3 linked regions of the Arabidopsis thaliana genome follow. The protein of the gene in region 3 interacts with the protein of the main gene of each other region in a pairwise test. Each region holds a gene or a part of one and is shown on either strand. Other genes may lie near its edges.

Region 1 (8,817 bases), on a different chromosome or scaffold from region 3:
CAACAAGACATCACTACTCATTGTTTTCATATATAACAAACAACCCCTGAAAATCCCATTAAGAGCTATGAAACATACCAGCATTTTGGCGCTCCCAAAATCGCATATCTTTACTTCATGCGTAACATTATTGACCTGCAAAATGCATCAACATTTCTCAAATTGAGTAAGAAAAGTAGTACTAGCTTTACAAGAACTAGTCTTAAAATGCTGTGCTTACCAACAGATTCTGCGGCTTAATGTCACGGTGACACACTCCAACCACTTGATGCAGATAATTCATAGCACGGCAAATCTGGTTTCAACAAACAAATGTTTCTCAGAACCCCAAAAGTCAAAAATAGAGCTGAATGCAGAAAAGAGTACACGGTCTTAATACCTGATAGGTGTAGAGCTGAATATAAATCAAAGGCATATGCTGATTCATCTTGGTGTAAGATCTGGAAGCGCGGTAAATAGTCTCGGGTACATACTCAAGAACAAGGTTAAGATAAAGCTCGTCTTTCTCAGTCGTGGAAAAGAAAGAATGCTTGAGCTCAACGACATTAGGATGATCAAGCATTCGCATGATCTGAAGTTCTCTGTTTTTGTATCTCTTGTCCTGTAACACTTTCTTTATTGCTACTTTTTCTTCCGTCTCTAAGCACTTAGCCTACATCAAAACCAGGAATCAACTTCAAAATCAAATTTTTAAAACAACTAAATAAAATATCTCGAGTCTAAATTTTATTTACCTGAAAGACAACACCGAATGAGCCAGTGCCAATTACATGTTCAGCTCTGTAAGAGATTGTCTGCATAATAACAAACAATATATAAAAAAACAGATTTTCATGGAGAACAATTTTAGAAATGTGTCATTACAAAGAACACAAGCCAAAACTGAAAAGTCACCTTGTCTTTTTGATCATTCAAACCCTTCTTTTTGGTGGTAATAATCCGTCCAGATTCTGTTCCATTTCCCTTGATGATTCCACAGTCCATATCCTATCAAATCCATTTGAACCATTAGCTCAAAGATCAGAGAAACAAAGCAAATCAGAAACTCAAAAGGCTAAAAAAATCTCAAAAATGGAAACCTTGTCATCTCCAAGTCCCACCTCACGGATTTCCTTTGGTAAATGATCAGAGTTCTCTGAGGAAGAGACAGAATCTTTCTCGTACGACGTAGTTTCCGTAGACTCTGTTTCTTCACGATTCTGGTTAGGCTTTGATCTCGGCGTCTCAGTTTCTCCTACCTACGCAAGTTACAAAAACAAAAGAGTCCAACTTTAAACAATCCCCAAATCAAGAAAATAAATACAAACAAACAAAAAAAACTCAAAAAGTTTCAATATTCTTTACGTTATCAGAAGAAACGAAATTACGTCCAGAGGCAATACTCGTTAATCTCCGCACCACATTCATCGTTTTTTTCTTCTTAAAAAAGCAGAAAACAATTCCAAGGAAACAGAGGAATTAACAAAAAAAAAAGTGGTTTCAAGAACACCAAAAGATTACACGAGAAGAGAAAGAGAGAAAGAGAGAGAATCGCTTAGCTGCCAATTCGTCTCTCCTTCTTCTCTCTTCTACCAGAAAAACGAAACAAAGATAACAAAAAAAAAATGATCTAAGGATTTTTCTTCCTTAATCAAAACTCTCTGTGTATATATACAAAAACATATTTATAGAAATATCTATATATATCTCTGCGGCGGAGCGGATATAGCTTAAACTAAAAAAGAACAGATGGCATTTCTCGCCATTGGTCTATTACACAATTCCAAGACCAATCAATCATTCTCATACCCTTAATTTCTGTTCAGAGATCATCACCCCACAAGAAAAAAATGGAATTAAATAATCTGTATTAGATACGATCGTGACCGTTTGTTCATTCAACGGTGGCGATCGAACGTTAAGCGCGCGGATTATTCGGAAGTTTGACTCTTCCTTTTGACTCTTTTCTTTCGGCCCGTTTGTAATAATAATATTATTGTCGTTTGTAATAATAGTATATACTCCAATGGACTTAAAATCTAGCCCAATAAATTAGTTAATGATTGGCCCAATACACTTTGAGAAGACTTACTTGGTAGCCATAATAGAGTAGTTAATGACAGGCTTTAGATAAAAGCCCATTAGTAGCCTGTGGTCTCTTCTGATGTGACCTTTGGATCTAGGCTAGCATTATCAAACAATCTCTAAACCAACCTAATCAATTAGCCTTTCGTTGTAGTTGTCTACATTGCATGGATATAATAACTATAAGGGATTGCAACTAAATTCATGCACTCACGTGTTTCACTCTTCTTCGTTCGTTCCTTTTCCATCTTATTGAGAAAAGTACTGTAAACTTGGAACAACATTAAATAAAGGACACGGTCCAAACCAATCCTTTCACATTATAAACTACCACAAAAGTAAACACGGATTGTGCTTCTGGTTGCCTTGATTTATAACCAAAAAAATGATAATACGTTTTTGCTTATAACTAATTATTTGAGCTCCCCTAAAAAAAACTTGTGTGTTTCATATAATGCTGTCCCGATATTATCGAGTCATTACAAGAAGAGAAACAAGAAACAATTACATTTCATCGACATGATCCAAAATAAAACCGATCCAAATTACAACATTCTTTGTTTTTTTTTTTTTTTTAAATTTCATCGAGTCAATACCCGAACCATCACAAAAACGGATTCATCACAAAATGAGGTTCGTTCTTGACTCAATCTCCTCCATCGTCTGATCTCGATGATCAGGTGCTATCACAATGAAGAGCAGCTTTAATCTTCTGAACGGTGCACGATATCAAATTATTAACCGTCTCCACAGATTCCACCGTTAGCTTAGCCGTAGGCAAACTATTCACCAGTATCTGAAACGCCACCGTTAGTAACGACCCTCCTTCCTCCATGCACCCACCGTTACCAATACTGTTACGTTCCTCTGCGGCGCAGCGTTGCGTACCAGCCTGACCGTTAGGGAGAATGGCGAATCCTGAAGGAAGGAGTGCCACGTAAGCAGAATCTCCACCGTTCATCACAGCTTGCATTGCTGGGATATCAACAGGCGCGTACACGACAACCGCTCCTGCAGCGTCTATGCTTGTCTCTTGTAATATCAGCATACTACTCTGATTCGCATTTATCGCCTGCATGAAAAAATCAAAACAAAATTAAATAAATGGAAACTTTGGTGGTAGAAGAGAAAATTATAAATCCCAAAAGGGGAAACAATAAATTAAAAGATGATGAACGAGGAGACTTTTACAGTGTCACCGTCACAAGCCAGAAAAAGCTCAAGGGGTACAACGGAGAAAAGACACCAATAATGCAGAAATAAAGAGAGAAAAAAACAGAGGATTTTTCAAAACGTCGGAGCCAAAAAGGAAAGAAAAAGGTCAAAAATGTCTTATTACTATTGACTTTTATCACACAATACTTCCAAATTCTAGATTTGTCACTTTCCAATCACACGCGACAAGATTCATATGACAACACCATCCTGGGGTCACACAACACAACAAAGTCCTTTCATACACTGTTTATAGATCAAATATTCAATGTCCACACAAGTCGGTTTAACTTTAATTTATCTAAAACCAACCCAAAAAAATCAGAAAAAGTTGAAAACCGTAAACAAAAAACTAAACCGACTAAAATTTCAAGTTTTCCAAAACCATCTAATGTTTATAAAATACTAAATTCACCAAAACCTAAACTAAAATTTGGAGATTAGCTTAGCTACTTACGCATGCAAATAGAAAGTGTAATAAATATGAATGCTTACGCTGGCACGGAGGAGGGAGACGGAGTTGGAACGGTCATGGCCTTTAGCTATATGGGCCATCTCTTTCATTGGTCCACCGTTGGATAAGATATCCCATTCCGATCTAAGCCGTTCGTTTCCAAGGAAGTCAAACAACCGCCTCGGAGATACCGGCATCCAAACTGACGTCGCCGCATTTAGAATTATCCCAGGCGGCTCGCCAGGATTGTTTACACTCTTCCTAGTCATTATCCTAACGTCTTCGTCGACGTTGCCAACGTTGAGTTTGCTCCATTTCTGTAACGACGAAGCACAAACCCCTCCACAGAAATTATCAGTCATCCTCTTCGCTAGCTTTAGCATGCTTTTTCTCCCATTGCAGTTTATAGCTGTGCCCATTAATATAACCAAAAAAAGATTAATTAAACTATATAGTTTGATAATTACAGAATCAACAGCTATCATCTTTTTCTTTGTGACTCAGTCAACAGTTCATACTATTTATTAAATCTTATTTATTCTGGTAGGATAAGATATGAATCACGTCAACAACAACAAACAAATATATATTTCTACAAAATAAATCAGAAACGCAGCGTTTGAGGGAGCTTACGGGATGGATTAGTGGAAGTGGAAACAGTGGAGGACATGAGAATCGTGAGGCATTCGCATTGACGTTGTAATGCAGCCATCCATCGATGCGCACCAAACGCTAGACCGCACCTGAGTAATGGGCGGTATAAACGGTGGATGTGGTTTTCGTCATACTCCGTGTGCTCGATCCATGTTACCTGCAAATTTCTTAAACTATTTTGCGTTAGGTTTATCACAATCGTTTTTTTAGGTCTAATGTCAGCTTTAACACATAATTAATGATAATCAAAGAGAAAAACTTCTATGAACGTGTAATGATAAAAATTAATGCACGATCCAAGGGCACAGAACTCGGAGATATTTAGATGCTTCTGATCAATAAAATAATCCTACTCCAATGCATAAGTTAATTTAAAGTTATAAACCCAATGCATAAGAAACCTTTATCATAATTTCTCGGACAAAAACAAAGAGCTTGCCTGTGGTTCCTAGAGAAATGTGAACCAACCAACACTAGGGTAACTCCTAAAGGTGAAAAGTTAAAACTATACAGTATACTACTATTACAAATAATCATCACCCAGAAAGAATAATTTTACCTTTGAGTAGCCATTGGCCATGTCTTGTACGAGGCAACCGGATGGTAATCTTCTACAGCTCGAAGAAGAACCTTCTCTAATGGAATCAATTGAGACATCCACGACTGCCCAAACACCTTCCGCGTGCTGTTTACAGAACCGCAAGAACGACACTTGTCTAACCGGCACGAGTGGAGACAGCAGTTGAAGCTCTGCGTGCATCTAATTAACCAAAAACAAAACATTAAAAGACCCATTTGTTGAATTAAGATTTTATATGTGTTAATTAAATGTTAAACGCATAATTACATACCAGGTGAAGTGCACCATTTCGCCCTCCCATGCCACTAGAGATAATCTCTGTGGTTGAAGTTCTTGAGACCATACTAGGAAACATTTCCGCCCACCGTTCCTATAAAAAACATTGTATCAAAAGATTAGTACTTTCTAGAACTTTTGCTGGATTAAGCTCATTACTAAAATTAAGTGTTTTAGTAACTACTCACCGAGTCCATTAAGGTTTCAACGAGCGCTAAGCTATTGATGATAACAGTTCCAGCTTCTTTAGAAGCTTCTGAGACAAACCCATCTTGTTTTGGTCCAACACACCGAGAGAAACTTGTGTCGTACTCTTCCTGGTTCAGCACTTCAAAACCAGAATCCGAGCTTCGAACCCAGAGCGGCTCACGTGTCTGAGCCATCTTCACAAGCTCATCCATAGCCGCAAGAGCTAAATCCAAATACCTCGATCTCTGATCAAAATCACTAACACTAACCGGTTGTTGACGGTTAACCGTAGCCACCAAACCAGAACCGGTTCCATTAGAAATCTCAAATCTAGGAGAAGCTTGAGGCAACAGCGGAGAAGAGAGAGTGAAACCACCACCAACATTACATCCACCAGAACCAACACCAACGCCGAGAACAAGTGCTGAGTCCGGTATATGATGTGAACCATTAGACCGGCCAAGAAACTTACCGGTTAAGGCACAGACTCGGTCTAACTCATCTTTGAGACGAGAGTTTTCAATTCTCAGATGTTGCTCTTCCATTGAGATCTCACCGATAACGGCAGGTCCGCCGCAATTACCACACATAGGGTTTCTCATAGCTTCGCGTACAGACATATTCTCAGCTCGAAGCTTATCGTTCTCTTGCCTCAACAAAGCATTCTCATGTCGTTCGATTTGAGTCTGTAAAAACAAATCAAAAATCAAAACAAAGAAACCAGAAAACAAAGATTAGCGATTCGAAGCTAAAAACCTTCATCTGAGTACGACGATTCTGGAACCAGAACTTGACTTGACGAGGATCTAAGTTAAGTCGACGGCTAAGATCAAGACGTTGCTTCTCGTCTGGATGTGCACACTCTTTAAAAACCCTAAAAATGGAGGATTCATCAAAATCAAAAATCAAAACGATTCGTAGAAGTGTAAATGGAGATTTTGTGTATAGTGAGTTTACGATTCGAGGTCTTGAATTTGTTTAGGAGTGTGACGATGGTAACGTTTCTTCTTCTTTAAAGGTCTATCGGAGGTATCTAAATCGTCACCGGAGACAGCTTCAGCGTTATCACTTTCAGATCTGCTTTCTACATCTTCTCCTCTACTACTCTTACGACTTACGTTTGACTCCATAATCTCTCCGTTTCTACTCATTTCTCCATTTGTTTGCTGCCAAATTTACAGAGATTATCATAAGTAGTAGAAGAAGAAGAAATCGAAGATTAAAAGAGGAGATAGTGAGCTTACGAGTCCGAGAGAGAGGCCTGAAGAAGAGAAAGGAAGAGACTGAGAAGGAGCAATGGCGGCGCTTCCGAGCATGGTGTCTACGGCGGAGAAAGAGAAGTGGTTGTTGTACGGAGCATCAGAGAGTAGCTTTGAGGCTCCAGCACCGTCGTCGAGAAAACCGTTGAAATTCATGAGATTTTAATAAAGAGGGAAATATTTAATGAAGATAGAAGAAATCCGCCATGGATGAGAGAAAAGCCCTAAGCTTTGTCGCTTCGGTGCATGTCCATGAATAGAAGATAGAGATAGAGATAGAGAGAGAGAGAGAACAGTAAATGAAAAAGGTAAAGGACGATAGTAACGACGAAAAAGGAAGATATAAAAGGTTCTCTGATTTGTTTCGTGAAATTAATTTACTTCAAAAGAAAAAATAAAAGAGAGAGAAGAGAAAAGGATAAAAAGGGAAAAGAAGAAGATGTGGAGTCATGGAAAGCCTTACACAACCTTTGAAAAGTTGGGTTTGACTCTTTTGACGTTACTCAACTCTTTTTGCTATAAAAGTCCACTTCAAGTGGTGAATCAACGCTGTCTTTCTTTTAAAATTACTGTTCTACCCCCTTCTTCTTGTGCTACTTTTTATTTGTAAATCCCAATTTCATCATGGGATGTGAGATTCTTCGTTTGTTGAGCGTTTCATTTGTCAATTCATTTGTTGAGCGTTTCATTTGTTAATTCATGTATTTCGGACATGTTTATTCACGATGACTATTGTTTTTGCATCGTGAATCGTACCTAAAGAGTTATGTTTTATTTTCCATAGCGAACAAGAAGTTGTTTATATTTGTATTACTCACAGTTTAGAAAGATGGTTATTAGTCTCCAAAAATAACTAATGCAAAGATCACAAATAATGAGATCCGGTTTTTGATACACAACCTATCAATTATACAAATTACTTTCATCAATGCAACCCAAAATAAATGGAGTATTGGGGTGAGTAAATTTAGAGTTGGCCCATCTTCCAAATTTGGCGGATTCTTAACTTCATGGTTTGTGAGTTTTGAGTAAACATGGAGTTATTGCGATGCTACCTAAGACTCATTTAAAAGGCAATATCATTCAATAGTTGATTAATAATGGACTGTCCATCTTAGAATAAAACCTTTACTTACTCTAAATGTCATCGACTCATTGAAACACTTGGTTCTTACAAAAAAGTAATCTTGCCCAATTTCTCGTTTGGTTCGAATCTTGAAAAAACACCCTTGAATATTCCTGGCAAACACAAACATATAGAAATATATATATATAAGATACCTCAAACTACAAAGAGAACAACTTCAAAGAAATGCATAGAAAAGAACTACTTGCAATAGTAAAAATAATAGTACCAGATAATGTGAACTATCCCATTCAGTGATAAAAATTCTATAGAAGAAACTAATAATGATGAAACGTAGCTATCGAGTGATTAATATCAAAAGTTCTTTGACACAAGAAAATCAAAAGTTCACACTTAGTCTACATGATGCGTTTGCCGACATCAAATCTTGGTTTTGCAATTTTCGAGATTCTACTTATAAAAAAAAGACCTAACCGTTTTGATTATTATTTCTTGTAGATAAGAAAAAAAAAAGTCTTCAACTATAGAGTGACAACTGTGCACAAAGCCACAAACTATCATATAATATACGACGTTTAGTTGACAAAATGAAATGGATATTAGTTGGGAGATGAGATTTTTGATCCCACCACCCACATGCATACAAAGATCATAAATCATATCGGCCCATGAAACCAAGTGTGTGTACTTATGTCTGTACTCTTTGACCATTTCACTTTCAGTGTGATTCATGCGTCTATAGATTCACACTCGGGATTTCATTCAAAGTCCATAGATAATTCAAAGAATCTTAAACTAAAAGTTGACAAAACAAAGCGATAACTAGAGAACAGAGAAGGTCAGATAGAAAGCTAACCAGTAACTAAACCAAATTAAATTTTAACAGATATCTTATGATCTTGGAATAGGCCATTACCTCTCAGTTTAGCAAAGCAGATGTCATCAAAGTTTCCTTGCCGATCTGGCATGATACTCATGTTTCAGGAGGTTGGCTCTTAACAGCATCGCCCTGACATCTCTATCGAATTCGTTTCCCATC
Region 2 (6,863 bases), on a different chromosome or scaffold from region 3:
GTGATTGTGTAATCTTGTGTGTTTATAATAGTAACATTGGAGATCCTCGAGTGTAAAATGTCTTGTACGGGGTTGTAAACTTATATAGTTATATTACAGTGAAAATAGATATTGTACAAGTTATAAAATCCTAACCACTTGGATAATCTACACATCCTTCGATTACTTTTACAATATAGCTGTATCAATTATCTTGCATTTGTGCAATTATTATATTGAATTTCAATTGAACCAATTATAAAATTTATTATGTAATTTAGTATTATATATTTTATCAATTATAAACAATTCATACTTTTTGCTATTATATATATAAAAAAATTTTAATTTTTAATTTTACTAATTGAAAAAGATTATATCTAACCACCTAACGACAACTCCTTTCTCGGATCAAGTTTTTTCTTGGTTCTTCTTTTCTCGGGGTACTTCCTCTCGGATTCTCTATGTCTCTTAACTCGGTCTAACCCGCTAAAGCTTAGCTCACATGCGGGTCATAAAATCCGATTACCTTTTGCGAAGTATGACCGAGAGTTGAAAGAAATTCGGATGTTCCTTAGAAACTCGGACCGTGAGTCCTTCTTTCTCGTTTAACTTGGAGTGTTCAATCGTCGGGTTGGAAGTGAATCGGATGATAATCACCTTCCTTCTCGTCTTTGTCCTCCGTTTTAAGTTTTTTTTCTTCCGTGAATTCTTTTTTTCTCTTCCTCTTTCGCGGGACTTAACATTTCGAGTTATCTCCGATCTAGGCTTCCCGATCTTTCACTTCAGCATACGCTATGATATCGTTTCTAAAGTCACTCATTCGTGCTCTGGACGGAGATGATGACGTCTTCGATTTTGCTTTTGTGGCCTCTTCGGTCACCGAGCTCCCTTATTTTGCTACGAGGACAAAGATTGGGAAGAAGAGAATTGAGGAAGTGATAGATTCAGATCTTCAGGGACTCGCCAAATACGAGGAGAGAGCGATTAAAGCTATCAAGCCGAGAGTGAAAGTTACCATTGAGAAAGACATCACTTTGCTACAGAGGGTAAGTGAATCTTTCTTACATCCACAAGACATGGTTCTATGTGTGTTGTTTCATCTTTCTCTAGACTTTTGTTGCTATTTCGGTTTACAAACTTTTGATTGTGGTTTGATCTTTCTCTAAACATTTTTTGCTGTATTTGGTTAAAGACTTTTGAGAATCTTCAAACAGGGCTTAGGACTTCTTAATTGTGCCTGAATTCTCAGACAAAGAATCCGTGTCTGGTTTGTACAGTTTCAGAGATTTGTTACAAAAACTGATGAATGAGTTGAAGAGGAGAAGAGTTAAGGAGTCTAGTCTAAATAAGTTTTCAAGTTTATTGTAATAGTAAAACCTCTATAAATTAATACTCGATAAATTAATAATCTATATAAGATTAATAATTTTTTCCAGTCCCGAGTTGGGACTGTAAAAAGTGACACAAATTGATAAATTAATAAAATAATAATTTTTTTGAAAATCCTATGTAAATATATGATCCCATCAATATTATAAATTAGTAATTGTATAAATATAAAATATATATATATCTAATATATTATATGTAAGAAATTTCTAATATTTTTTTGCTTAAACTCGTATTTGTTCTTATTTGAATTTAGTTATAATATTTTACTGTATCAAAACTTTTGATATTGTTTTATAGACATGATAATTATTTTTTACTTGCAATTGGTTTTAGAAAGATATTCTCTATGATGAAAAATATCTTGTAGAAACTTTTAAAAAGTTACTACATTAGAAAACTCTCTATGTAAATTAATAAATTATTTATTAATTTATTCCTTAATTTGTAGATTTCTGTTTGGAAAGAAATTGCTAAAAATTAATATAAAAGCCCAATGGGCCGTGTAATAAGTAGACCCAAAGTTATTCGGTACAGTAGTGACGACCGGTTAATCTTCGCCCGCGCTATCGTCATTGCAAAAATCTCGAACCAGATTCGGACATCTCGTCGAAAATGGCGTGCTCAATTGGTAACGCTTTCAGGTGTTCTTCTGATACGCTGCGTTTTGCTCCCCGACAACAATGCAGCAGCCGCCTAAACCCTAATCCTTCCTCTTTCCTCTCCTTTAATTCCTCCCCAATTCTCGCACAGGTATCGAGTATATATATATATTTATTCTAATGTCCAAAGCACACTTTTCCAGTAACGCCTTTTGCATATTCAAACTGAATTTTGATTTTCGAATTTCTGGATTATTTTAAAGAATTTGGGTGCTTCTTCTTCGTCACTTTCCCGACGGACTATACGAGCTAGAACAAAAATGGCTGCGTCGGAGGCTTCCATTAACGGGAGCAACAGGATGCTGGTAATAAAACTCTAGGATTTCAATTTTCAGATTTTTTTTGAGTTTGATTTGAAAGTGAAAGATGTGAATTTGATTCTGGTGTTTCAGGTCTTTGTGCCACCACATCCTTTGATCAAACACTGGATCTCTGTTCTGAGAAATGAACAAACTCCTTGTCCTGTTTTCAGTGAGTAGATAAGATTCTTATGAGTATTTCTGCGATTTAACCAGTGTTTGTTGTTAAAGAACTGAATTTTACATCCATTTTTTTTTTTTTTTTTTTTGATTCGTTGGACAATCTTTAGCTCTTAGATTGGTGTTATCTGCTACATTGCGTTTGAATATGAGTTTTTTTAGGTTTGCTACTAGTATAAGTCTGTGTTGATCTTTAAAGCTTGAGTTTTTTTAATTATCTAGGGAATGCAATAGCTGAACTAGGGAGATTACTCATGTATGAAGCATCACGAGAGTGGCTGGTGCGTAGAATTTCACATCTCTATTATTCTTGAATTCTTCCTACCCGTTTTTTGCTTATTGTTTTTTGTTTTTTGCTCTATGCGGTTAAGCCAACTGTTGTGGGTGAAATAATGTCTCCAATGGGTCCTGCTTCTGTTGAATTCATTGATCCTAGAGAGCCTATTGCGGTTTGTTTATCCCTCAAACTCTTCCTGTCTATATTTTCTTTTCGACCTTACATGTAAGCGTTTCTAATTCTTGGTTTTGTCTCTGTGTAGGTTGTTCCGATATTAAGAGCTGGTCTTGCTCTTGCGGAACACGCATCCTCAGTTTTACCTGCTAATAAAATTTATCATTTAGGTTAGTAATCTAGCTATATATCATCTCTTGCCTGAACTTCGGATGTCAAAAATGAAAACTTTTATCAAATAGCTTATTGATGTCCCCGTGCTTCTTTTCTTTTACAGGAGTAAGTAGAGATGAGAAAACACTTTTACCATCGGTGTATCTTAACAAGTAAGAACTTCTCTGCAGCATTGTGTTTGTAGTTACTGAAGTGTTTATAATAACACCTTTGATACATCTTCTTTAGGTTGCCTGATGAATTTCCCAAGAATTCAAGAGTATTTTTGGTCGACCCAGTGCTTGCCACAGGTAAGAAAGTCTTATCATTTTAGCCACCTCCATATTAGAAGTATAGTTAGGGTTTGATGTTCAAATGTACACGATAATATGTGAATGTGAACGCATGACATGGTAATACGAATGTTTCATAGCTAGAAGCGTAGGTTTAGTAACTTAGTAACTTGTATTTTAGGTGGTACCATAATGGCGGCGATGGATCTATTGAAGGAACGTGGTTTGTCTGTTCAGCAAATCAAAGTGGTAAGCATATATATAGGAAACAGCTTTTGTCAGAAATCGAAGTGTTAATTGTTTTGATTTTTCTGATTACAGATTTGTGCGATTGCTGCACCTCCTGCACTATCGAAGCTTAACGAGAAATTCCCCGGGTAATCAATAGCAAAAGATCAACTCTCACCTTGCTTACCATTTAGTTAACTCTCTTTTTACTAAACTGTTTGGCTACTATTTGAAACATTTCAGGCTTCATGTATATGCTGGAATTATTGATCCTGAAGTCAATGAAAAGGGGTAAGTCATTAGGTTCTTTGGCTTTCCATATGAAAACTGGCGATTGTATTTTAATGTCCTTATGTATTTGTCATGAACTAGGTACATAATCCCTGGGCTTGGAGACGCTGGAGACCGCAGTTTCGGGACAGAAACACATTGGGTGAAGTGATACTTGTATGAGTTGTTAAACTTTAACAGTCACAATCGTTAGATTATATATTGTGTCTCTTGTACTTTGTTTTTGATGTGTGATTTCAGGTTCTTGAGAGGGTTTCGATAAAGAGTCAAAATTTCACAAACAAGAAAAACTGAATTCCTCATTATTACAAAACAGAGAACAAACTTGTCAACCATTTTATGTGTATCATTCTCAATTGTCTACCACAAACCATTTTGGGAAAAAGTATGCAAGAAAATCTGAAAAATTCATCCATGAAGCAAACATTTGAACCAATAATAAAAGTTTGTTATCAAATTGAATGAACTTAAGTTACTACCAAACTGAACCAGTATTTATGGTTTGGTTACGTTCGATTCCGGTTACAATTAACTGTCGGTACAATTCTGGTTGAAAAAGTTTAGTATTTCGGTTTGATTTAATTTTGTATACCGCTCTAATTGGATCGGTTTTTATTGCTCTTCAATTAAAAGTTGAAGGGTATAGTAGTCATTCCTATGAAATAAGCAAACCCTAGCTCGCTACTATAAATCTAATAAACCTATGAATTAAGCAAACCCTATCTTTGTCGCCGCCAAACCTCTCTCAGATTCTTCTTCTTCCTCGCAGGTGAGAATTTCTCCGTAGTATCTTAATCTCCTTTCACTGTATTGCTAATTAACGCATCGGAATAATCTAGGTTTCGATTTCAGAATTAGTTATCTCGTTGTGTCTTTTGTTGATTATATATTATTGTTGAATGTGATCAATTATTCTTGATGAATCTCTTAATTCGAGGTTCTATTGCTCATCTGATTAGTTTTTTTGTTTGTTTACTTGCTCAGATCGATTTTTTTTTGAAGCTAAATCTCAAAAATGGAGAACGACGCAGGTCAGGTCACAGAGCTCTACATTCCAAGGAAATGGTATATATCAGCTCTCTTTGTTCTCTGTGTAACGTTTGATTAAAATCTTAAGCTAATTGTCTTAATTAAGTAGCCTAAGCTGATTCTATTGTTGTGTAATGGTAATTTGTTTAGCTCGGCAACAAACAGAATGATCACATCAAAGGATCATGCTTCAGTTCAGCTTAACATTGGTCATCTTGATGCTAATGGTCTCTACACTGGCCAATTCACCACTTTTGCTCTCTGCGGATTTGTCCGTGCTCAGGTTTGTGAATTTCCACTCTGCTAATTACTTTATAATCATCTCCACAGTTGTTATAACAAAGTTCATGATTGTATATGTATATTGACATTATGATTGCATCTGCAGGGAGACGCAGACAGTGGCGTGGACAGGCTCTGGCAGAAGAAGAAGGTCGAAGCTAAACAACAGTGAGAGACAATCTGACAATGTCATAAGCTCTTGTTTGTTTTTTGAGGTTTCGATTTATTAGCTATGTGGCTTTGTCATTGAATTGAAAATGTTAGTTTCTCTTTATGCGAATTCATGTTTTCGATTTTTCTGCTTTATTAAAGATAATTATTAGGCTTTGAGGCCAATGGAATCAGATTCTATCTACAGTCTAATACTCGTCTATATTTCTCTTTCAAATATAACTGTTAGATTATCTATCATCAACCTCTCGGATTAGTGATTTACTGTATGAACATAAGAGATTGTTAATATGTCTGCAAAATCCTACTTTTATTGAAAATTGAATCGTTTACACATTCTCGATCAAAGCTTAAAGCAGTGGAACTTTGTTCTTTTTCAACTTTAAAATTCAACAAAAGACATCTTTTGATTCAGATCTCACCATCCCAAAGCTCTTCAAGTGTTTTATAAGGACTCAACGTCTCATGAACAAACGACGTGCCTTGGACTAACCTAGCCTGCACAGAGATGATTCAAAATCCAAAATACAAGAGGTTACAGTTAAGACTACTCACAGATACGAAATTTGCAGAAATGTGGTTTATTGTTTCACTTACCTGCTCTATCTTGGAAAACTTGTCAAACATTTCTTTTGGAATAGACCATCCCAAGACATCAAAGTTCTCTCTGATTCTTCCTTCATTTGTGCTTTTGGGAAGTATACTATGACCCATTTGAAGTCCCCATCGAAGCGCGGTTTGTGCGGGAGACTTCCCGATTTCTTTAGCAATCATTTCAATAACCGGACTCTTTAAAACATCGGCCTTCACCCACGTTGTTCCAGGAGATCCCAATGGCGAATATCCCTGCCACAATCAACATTCACGAAGTGTATATAAATATGACATTCGGACTCATTAAATGATTTGGAAATGTTTAGTGTTTTAAAACTTACTGAGAGGTGGATCCCTTTGGACTTGCAAAACTCATGTAGCTTATGTTGTTGCCATGAAGGATGACATTCCACCTGGTTTACAGCGGGAGGAACACGAGCAGCCTCCACAAGATCTGAGAGTTTCTTTGTAGAGAAATTACTTACGCCAATGGCTCTTGCCTTGCCTGAATCAACCAGTGCTTCCATTGCTTTCCATGTGCTCGGAATATCGATAGGCATAATGTTCTCAGGCTTAAAGTCAACAGTACCTTTCTTCAACCGAACAGGCCAGTGCATCTTGAAAAAAATATCAAATGAAACAAATCAAAGTATAAGCAAGCATATGTATAGTTTCAAATCCAGAGATCCGGACAATTCAGGCTAGATATTGAAGAAAGGAACGGATCTTGAAAACTGTTAGAACTTATTAAAAAATCAGCATTTGTTCAAAGAAGTCGTGCTTACGAGATACAAATCAACATAATCAAGCTGCAGATCCTGAAGAGTTCTGTTCAATGCGTCCTGTACATCCGGAGGGT
Region 3 (7,237 bases):
AAATCGATCCAATAGAGAAATCTTTAGATCTCCCCGGAGAAAAGTTTTCTCCAACAGTAATCTGATCAATTCCTTCAAATTTCTCCTTCATCACTTCCATAATCTCCAATTTCGCTTCTTCCATGACATTCTCTTTCAATTTAAGAAGCGTGATTTTACCAATTGAACCAAGAGGCGGTGCTAGGGCTTCCGGAGCTTGTTCGGCGATCCAATCAACGGCCATGATATCTTCGCGAATCGATTCTGATTCCTTGACAACACGAACGTGATCGGGATGTATAGCGTAAGCGTTGAGATCTTCTTTGGATCTGTAACGGCTATGAAGGACGTGAGTGAAGTCGGAGGCGGTGGTCGTGATAAGGCGGTGGATTGAACCGCAGTAGAGGTGAAGCACTTGGTCGAGATTGACTAGTTCGTTGATTCCGTTGACCATGGAGTTGATCTTGCCGGAGTCAACGTCGTCGTCGTTGAGCTTGAATAGAACGACGTGCTCGACGATTGAAGACATGGTTACGACGACGGAGAAGAGATTGGATTGGTTTCGTAACTTTGGCCACTTATTTTTAAATTTGAAACAATTTGAGAGAAATTGATATTTATTGTAATTGGGCCTTAATGGGTAACTTACGGATTGTTACAAGCCCATTATATTTATACACTTCACATGTAGTGTTTGTTTGTAGGGGAGAATGGAACCTAGGATTCTTGTAAAGTTTGATTAGCTTTGACATAAACGTACGATTAGCTTTATTTATTTGGTTACTTGATTATCTTAGCAATGTAGTTAATAATATTTTACTTTATTTCATAGTTTAATGATTTTTTGGTGTTTATTTTGGGACGACGTATAATTTAATAATAATACAAAGACAAAAAGAGAAACCAAAAAGAAATTGATACGGACTCGAATCAAATCCTCATTCCAAGGTGATTTGTAGCTTTTAGGTACCTAATTGGATTTTTGTTTGTACGTGTGTGATAATATGCACCCGTGCGAGATCTTCCTTGCACACAAATATGTATACGAATACTTTTCTTATACTAGCTAGTAACTAGTACTCCCACCACCTATACGTAGGTTTTTTTTAACCTTAAAACTACTTTATGATGAGAACTAGTATAATATTGTACGTAACCTATGGAAGAACTTCGTTGAGTGTGATTTGAAATTAGGCCACCTTAGCCATATGAGCCTACATACTTGGGACTTGGCCACTTATTAGGAGTAACCTCAGTTCCAAATACGCCGTTAAAAATTGTTTAAAATTTTTACTTTTTATTTTGTGAAAGTACTTTGGATAAAAGGTTAATTGATTGACATTTAACACGGTTTCATGTACGGAAGAAATGTTATTAATTGATAAACACAAGAGTAAAATATTATGAAATAAAAATCAACAGAAATACAATAGTTAGAGTTTAACAGAACTTAATTATGCAGAAAATTCTTAAGGTAATCAAAATTCCATCTGTTTAAATGAATATATTTAACACATGTAACAAAGCTACTCGTTGGAAAAAAACGAAAAAAAAATAATAATAAATATTGCAAGTGTAATATCTTCTAAAATATATTAGCAAAACATTATGATTTTTCTGTACTGCAGATTCTCCCATCTATGTTGTACAGTCTCAAGTAACCTATTAATTGACGTCGAAACGAATAAATTATGCACGTAGAGGTGTAAGTTTCTAATTCTCAATCATGAGATTCGTACGTCATATGTTATCATTTATCCACATTATTGAAGTCTGAAGATTTTGTGTAGCAATAATTCGAAAAGATTAAAATGATGGGAAAGACGAATTAATAATTCACGTAGATATTATCAACGTAGCTATTGTGTCGTCTTCTTCTTACCTACTCTATATATAGAGATATAGTTTTATACATTCGTTATAACTTGTAATTATTAACTTTGCTCTTAAAAGGAATTGTGTGGAGAAAGAAAAGAAAAGAAAAGAGAAAAAATGATGAAAAAAGCCGCACGAGTCCTTTCATTGGATTCCCTTCGGAGATGTTATCGTCAGCTCCGACCACTTTGGCCATCCCTTGGTTAAACTGACATATCCTTCGTCTCTTGTTTTTTTCTTGTTTTGTTTTAACACTTTTACTTATTAACTAAATTCAGTTTATATAATTACAGTACTTATTATAAGGTAATTTCTTTAATTTCCAAACAAATTTGAGATGTAATTTTTTCAATCTTTATGAACTTTATATCCAATAAGAAACAGTTGAATCTTTTTATAACTTTGGATTATATCCAAAACTTTTGTGTACATATTATTCTGCATCCACTATTTTTTTGGCTTTATAGACCTTTTTTCTTCTTAGGAAACTTGACATATTTTGAACTCGGATCAAAAGTTTTGAATTTGAGCTCTTCACTCTGATAAAATTGGTGTTCTTTCATGAATTTCTGATGTACCCAATAAAAAGGAAATGGATTCAGAAGTACTTTGTATGGAAATTGTTTTTGATGAGATTACGTATAAAGTATTGAGGTAAAATGCAAGAAGAACAATCCAACTCCTAATTAACTCAAGCCAAAATACAAACCCAAAATAGAAACTGCAAAGCTAACAAGCCTGAAATGTTAGGAAGCACCATTCACTTACATACTTAACTAAAAAAGAGATAGGGTATTTGATTAATCATACCCTACCAGAAATTCAAACCCACCTAATTCAAAATTATCGAAAAAATTAAAAAAGAGCCAAGGAGGGAGAAAAGCAAAATAAGAAGAAGAAGAAGAAGAAGAAAAGAAGCAAAACCTCACACTACACTCTCTATAATATACTTTAAATATTATTGTATTTGAATCAAACTAGAAACTAGATATTGATACCATGATAATAATCACAAAACCCTAATTATAAACTTAACTTATTTATTATTTTGTTGACCAAGTGCGAAAACGAAGAAGAGCTCTACATCCGGAGGAGCAAAGAAAGCGATTTGTCTCCTCCTTAAAGCGCAGTTTTGCGCCACCTTTTGCTTCTTCGGTGCCGGTGGACACGTCAGCATCTCCGGTATTCGTGACTTCTCCGGAGTACAACATCCACTCTCTGCTGAAACCGGAGATGGCGTGGCCGTTGATGTGGGTGAAGTAGATGTTGATGACGTTGAAGTGACGTCACTATTGATACTACATGGAGGAGATGGGTTCTTGAAGTGGCTTCTTTTTCTTCTTCTTGTAGTTGTTCTTCTTAGTGGTTTCTTTCCTTTTGATGCCATTTTTGAGACCAGAATAAGAGAGAAGAGAAGGGAGAGAGAGAGCAAAAAAGAAGAGAAATGGGTGAATGTGAATCTATATATGAAGAGTGTGTATAAACCTTAGTGGGAGTTTTACTTTAAAGTTATTAAATTTGACTGGAAAAAGTTTCTATCAGAGGAGAAGAAAAAGCCAAGAAAGAAAAAGGTAAATAAAAAGAAGAAGAAGAGATTGCTTGGTATTTGGAAACTAAAGAGAAAGGGTTTCTTTTTGATGGACGATCAATGCATGAAATGTGAAATGGGTACGCTTTATTTTCTTCTTTTTATTTAAATATTCATAGAAGAAGAAATACATATGATAAAATAATATTGTCTTAGAAATTTAGAATTGTCAATTATCTCGTCATTAGTCGTTTTTCTAACTTTCCATCCTTTTTTTTTTTTTTTTTGTCAAAATGCTATTTATACGATTAACGCAATATGATTTTCCTTAATAATAAAACTATTTATCAAGATTTTTTTTCCTAATGATAGTATGTTTTTAAATGATATTTGAAAACGGTATTATTTAATTGGTTGTCCCCTAATAAGCTAAAAGAATCTAGATGAATATATCAAAAAAAGAAGATAAAGAAAAATAAACCAGCATGTAGATCTCCTTTTAACATGTACCAATACAATCTTTTCAACAATATTAAATTAAGAAGAAAACCCTTTAATTTTCTCAAAAAAAGATGGAATCAAATTACGGAAGAAATTATTTGTTGTGTTGTTGTTTCAAATGCATTTTAAGTTTGCGGTAAAAGACAAACACTATATATCTCTGATATTAAACATTATGTGTAAGTTATATATATTCAAATGCATGTGAACACCGTTAGTTAAAAGTAAACTATATAACAAAAAATTAGTTTATACTGCGTATAATATTACTCATATATATGTAGGCATGCTGTCACATACATATACTATTTTAAATAATAAAATTCAATTACATCCACAGCTTAGAACATTTAAACCTCTATGTATTAGTTAACAAAAAACAAGACAATTACAGTCTCCCATTAACTAAAAATGAGAAAGAAAAATACTTAAAAGAAGAGAGAGTTCCCGAGAGAAGAGTCTCACATTTGATGATTACGATATGTTTGTCTTCAAAAACACTACCTATTGGAGGTATTAGGTGGTAACTATAATTGCTACATATTGTTTCTGTTTAGCCTTAAGATATTTTTTCTTAATAAAAAGATAAAAAAACTGCATAATACAGGCGGAATAAAATATCATTTAACAAAATACTTTGATGCAATAATATAAATTCACGTGGGGTGGAATGGGATTTAAATTTAATGCATAAATGCATGGGGTTCTTTACACTCCAACTAACCCTATTATTTTAACCAAAACCAACTAACCTTTTTTGGGTTTAGTTGAGATTCTTGTCTCTGCAAATTTTAAAATGTGTATATACAAGTATGAATTTCTACAATTGTGGTAACTGTTCGTAACCATTTTTTTTGTTTATACGAGAGAAATATTTATATCTTGCAAAAAAAAAAGCTTATATCCCTAAAGAAAGTACACAGTGGTCGAGGCTGGATCTCATCATGGGATCCAAAACATAGGATTCACTGTGCACATACGGCGACTCGGCGAGTTAGATTCTCAAAGGCCATTTTACATAAAGACAAACATATTAGTATATTACAGAGCTAGTCTTTTTCTTCAAAACCAAGTTCAAGTTTTAGTAGTTATATAGACGTCTCTATACCATTTGTCTGGTTTATGACAAAAAGTTTTAGACGGTGCAGTAAAAAAAATTAGCGGTGCACTGATACAATAGCTCTCAAATTAAATGACTACAAGACAGAACATCGACAACAAATATACTCAATGTAGTTGTTGTTTTCTACTGCTTATGCTGCCAAATTCTAACCATTTCGGTGGTTAAAAATACATTGAATAAAGGGTGTGTATAACACCTTTATATGTAATCGCAGTATTATTTATATTTCAATTATTTGTAGTAAGCCATTTTAATTTTATGTTTTGCCACGAAAGTTAATAATAGGTCATGCGTGATTTGAACGCCAAAATGCCAAAATAAAAGATTAATTTGGGACATTGGTATCGACGAGGCAAAGAATTATTACTGATACAAAAAACACAGATGTTTTTTTCTATAAACTGAGAGATTTCAAACAATGAAACAAGTGAAGTTTTCTCAAGGCAAAAAATTAAAAGAAAAACAAAAATGTGGTGGATCTAATCTAAAAGTGGCACAAGTAAAGTAATAGTACAACTCCTTCTCACTGCTTTCACCTGCACACATAATACAAAAACTGTTTTGTTAAAAAGAAAAGAACATTTTCAGAATTTGAAATACATAAAATCTCATTTAACCAATTTTGATCGAGAAAAAAAGATGGTATAGCAAATGAATAAATCCTAGCATTCTGCTTTCAAAATGCTCTGATCAATTGTTTGGTGTATGCGGTTCCAGTTACGGTTGGTTCCAGTTACGGTTATGGCTATTTTGGGTAACCAGAAATGAACAGAACAAGCCTGAGAAAGCAAGTACCTGTTGAATCATAGGTGTGTCTCTGGAGCAGGAGAGATAATAGACGAATCATGATCATAAACTCTAGGCTCTGTCTCTCTTTTGCTATATGCTGAAAATTGAATCAAACCTAAATCACTACTGATATGTTCAGTGTTGTATGGTCTGTGTGTTTGGGAAAAGCAATATCGCTGTGTTTAGTAATTATCGCCAAAAGACATGGACTGGCCTAATACAGTCCTGATGCGAATCTGCAAAGCCAAAGAGATTGAAATAACATAGCTGAGTCAATGATAAGAGGTAGAGTATACAAGGTAACTAAAAGGGTAATAAATTTGTACCTTAACATCGAGGCAAGCGTCATTGACCATGTTTTTTAACTGGGGAATGATACCCGCATTCCGTAATTTCACATGCCGATCAAATGCACCGGGGCTTGAAGGACTAATGAGGTTTATGATTGTCCAGACTGCTGCTGACCGTAACTGGCTCTCGTCGCTCTGCAAAAACTTAAGCATGAAATTCTCTGATCCAGCTTTAGCTTGAGGAAACAGTTGCTCCATAACCGCTTCTTTATGTAACTCAGTCCCACTCGCTACATTCGTGAGCACATACATTCCCTGGGGAAAGAAAAACATTTTATATCAGAGATTTTGTTAATCTATTGATAAGGTATACTTTTTTCAATTTTGTCACCTGTATTGCCATTTGTGCCTGTGGAGCTTTCCTCAATTGCCTCCCAACAGTATCTAAGATAAGACCATCTTCATCAAATACAAACTCGATAGAGCTGATACATCCATCAACAAGATTACGGAGGAGGGCCAAAGCTTGCTCTTGCACTGGGGGCTCAGGATCTGAGTGCAATGAGTTTGTTTGTTAGTTAACAAAAAAAATCATACAGATGTATCATATGATTTTGGTTTGAAGACTCGTAGAATGATTTACCACTAATGAGACAAGCAAGTCCTTGAGCCTTAACGTCTGAATAAAAGAGTTCTTTACGTTTAATGTCGGCAAGGAACATGAGGTTCCTTAAAGCCCGCAAAGCGCTACACCGAGTATTTGGATCCATTGATTTTGACAACTCAGTAAGCTGTTTTATCCCTCCATACTCGATAAATGATGACTTCGGTGATGAAAAATCCATTACTATATTGTTCAGAGCACCAAGAACTGCAACCTGGTCCACAATATATAGGTACATATACATTCAAATCGACTGTGCCATTTGCTTCTAAAGAAAAAAAATCACATGGGAGACTAAGTCAAAGAAATGCGGCATCTTATGTGACACAGTACCTGGACAGAGGAAGATGGATCATGCAATAGCTGAACCAAAGGAAGCATAACATGATCGCTGTTGAATCGTCCTGCACTCAAACTCTAAATGACATGTCTCAGGGAACTTACCACTTAATACAAAACCTGCTGAAATACTAATAACATGCGAAATG

What was found. Proteins that work in one complex are often made in the same cells at the same time.
Region 1: the proteins of AT1G51355 (region 3) and HDG1 interact in a two-hybrid assay, tested with the Arabidopsis thaliana proteins (one large-scale study listed by BioGRID).
Region 2: the proteins of AT1G51355 (region 3) and UPP interact in a two-hybrid assay, tested with the Arabidopsis thaliana proteins (one large-scale study listed by BioGRID).

What each region holds. Positions count from the first base shown.
Region 1 is NC_003074.8:22,628,799-22,637,615, reverse strand, and holds HDG1 (homeodomain GLABROUS 1), read right to left. Parts: upstream 7,286-8,817; 5' UTR 6,848-7,285; coding exon 6,677-6,847; intron 6,599-6,676; coding exon 6,390-6,598; intron 6,307-6,389; coding exon 6,189-6,306; intron 6,119-6,188; coding exon 5,432-6,118; intron 5,338-5,431; coding exon 5,239-5,337; intron 5,148-5,238; coding exon 4,947-5,147; intron 4,545-4,946; coding exon 4,367-4,544; intron 4,143-4,366; coding exon 3,775-4,142; intron 3,137-3,774; coding exon 2,741-3,136; 3' UTR 2,461-2,740; downstream 1-2,460. Other genes in the region: AT3G61160 (Protein kinase superfamily protein), read right to left, coding at 79-135, 221-295, 380-652, 735-794, 895-987, 1,080-1,238, 1,345-1,407; FUS6 (COP9 signalosome complex subunit 1), read right to left, coding at 8,721-8,817. UniProt on the Arabidopsis thaliana protein: Probable transcription factor. Promotes cuticle development probably by modulating the expression of the downstream genes BDG and FDH, possibly repressed in a CFL1-dependent manner.
Region 2 is NC_003074.8:19,954,130-19,960,992, reverse strand, and holds UPP (uracil phosphoribosyltransferase), read left to right. Parts: upstream 1-1,917; 5' UTR 1,918-1,986; coding exon 1,987-2,124; intron 2,125-2,143; exon of another isoform or gene 2,144-2,236; coding exon 2,237-2,338; intron 2,339-2,425; coding exon 2,426-2,504; intron 2,505-2,734; coding exon 2,735-2,793; intron 2,794-2,883; coding exon 2,884-2,961; intron 2,962-3,051; coding exon 3,052-3,133; intron 3,134-3,240; coding exon 3,241-3,289; intron 3,290-3,365; coding exon 3,366-3,427; intron 3,428-3,590; coding exon 3,591-3,658; intron 3,659-3,730; coding exon 3,731-3,786; intron 3,787-3,880; coding exon 3,881-3,928; intron 3,929-4,009; coding exon 4,010-4,079; 3' UTR 4,080-4,403; downstream 4,404-6,863. Other genes in the region: AT3G53910 (malate dehydrogenase-like protein), read left to right, coding at 547-568, 769-1,028, 1,093-1,137; AT3G53890 (Ribosomal protein S21e), read left to right, coding at 4,944-4,993, 5,108-5,240, 5,346-5,411; AKR4C11 (NAD(P)-linked oxidoreductase superfamily protein), read right to left, coding at 5,822-5,908, 6,008-6,256, 6,346-6,621, 6,790-6,863. UniProt on the Arabidopsis thaliana protein: Uracil phosphoribosyltransferase (UPRT) that catalyzes the conversion of uracil and 5-phospho-alpha-D-ribose 1-diphosphate (PRPP) to UMP and diphosphate.
Region 3 is NC_003070.9:19,037,479-19,044,715, reverse strand, and holds AT1G51355 (cyclin-dependent kinase inhibitor SMR3-like protein), read right to left. Parts: upstream 3,320-7,237; 5' UTR 3,242-3,319; coding exon 2,891-3,241; 3' UTR 2,302-2,890; downstream 1-2,301. Other genes in the region: DABB1 (dimeric A/B barrel domainS-protein 1), read right to left, coding at 1-508; AT1G51350 (ARM repeat superfamily protein), read right to left, coding at 5,978-6,031, 6,122-6,400, 6,477-6,637, 6,729-6,963, 7,083-7,166. UniProt on the Arabidopsis thaliana protein: Probable cyclin-dependent protein kinase (CDK) inhibitor that functions as a repressor of mitosis in the endoreduplication cell cycle.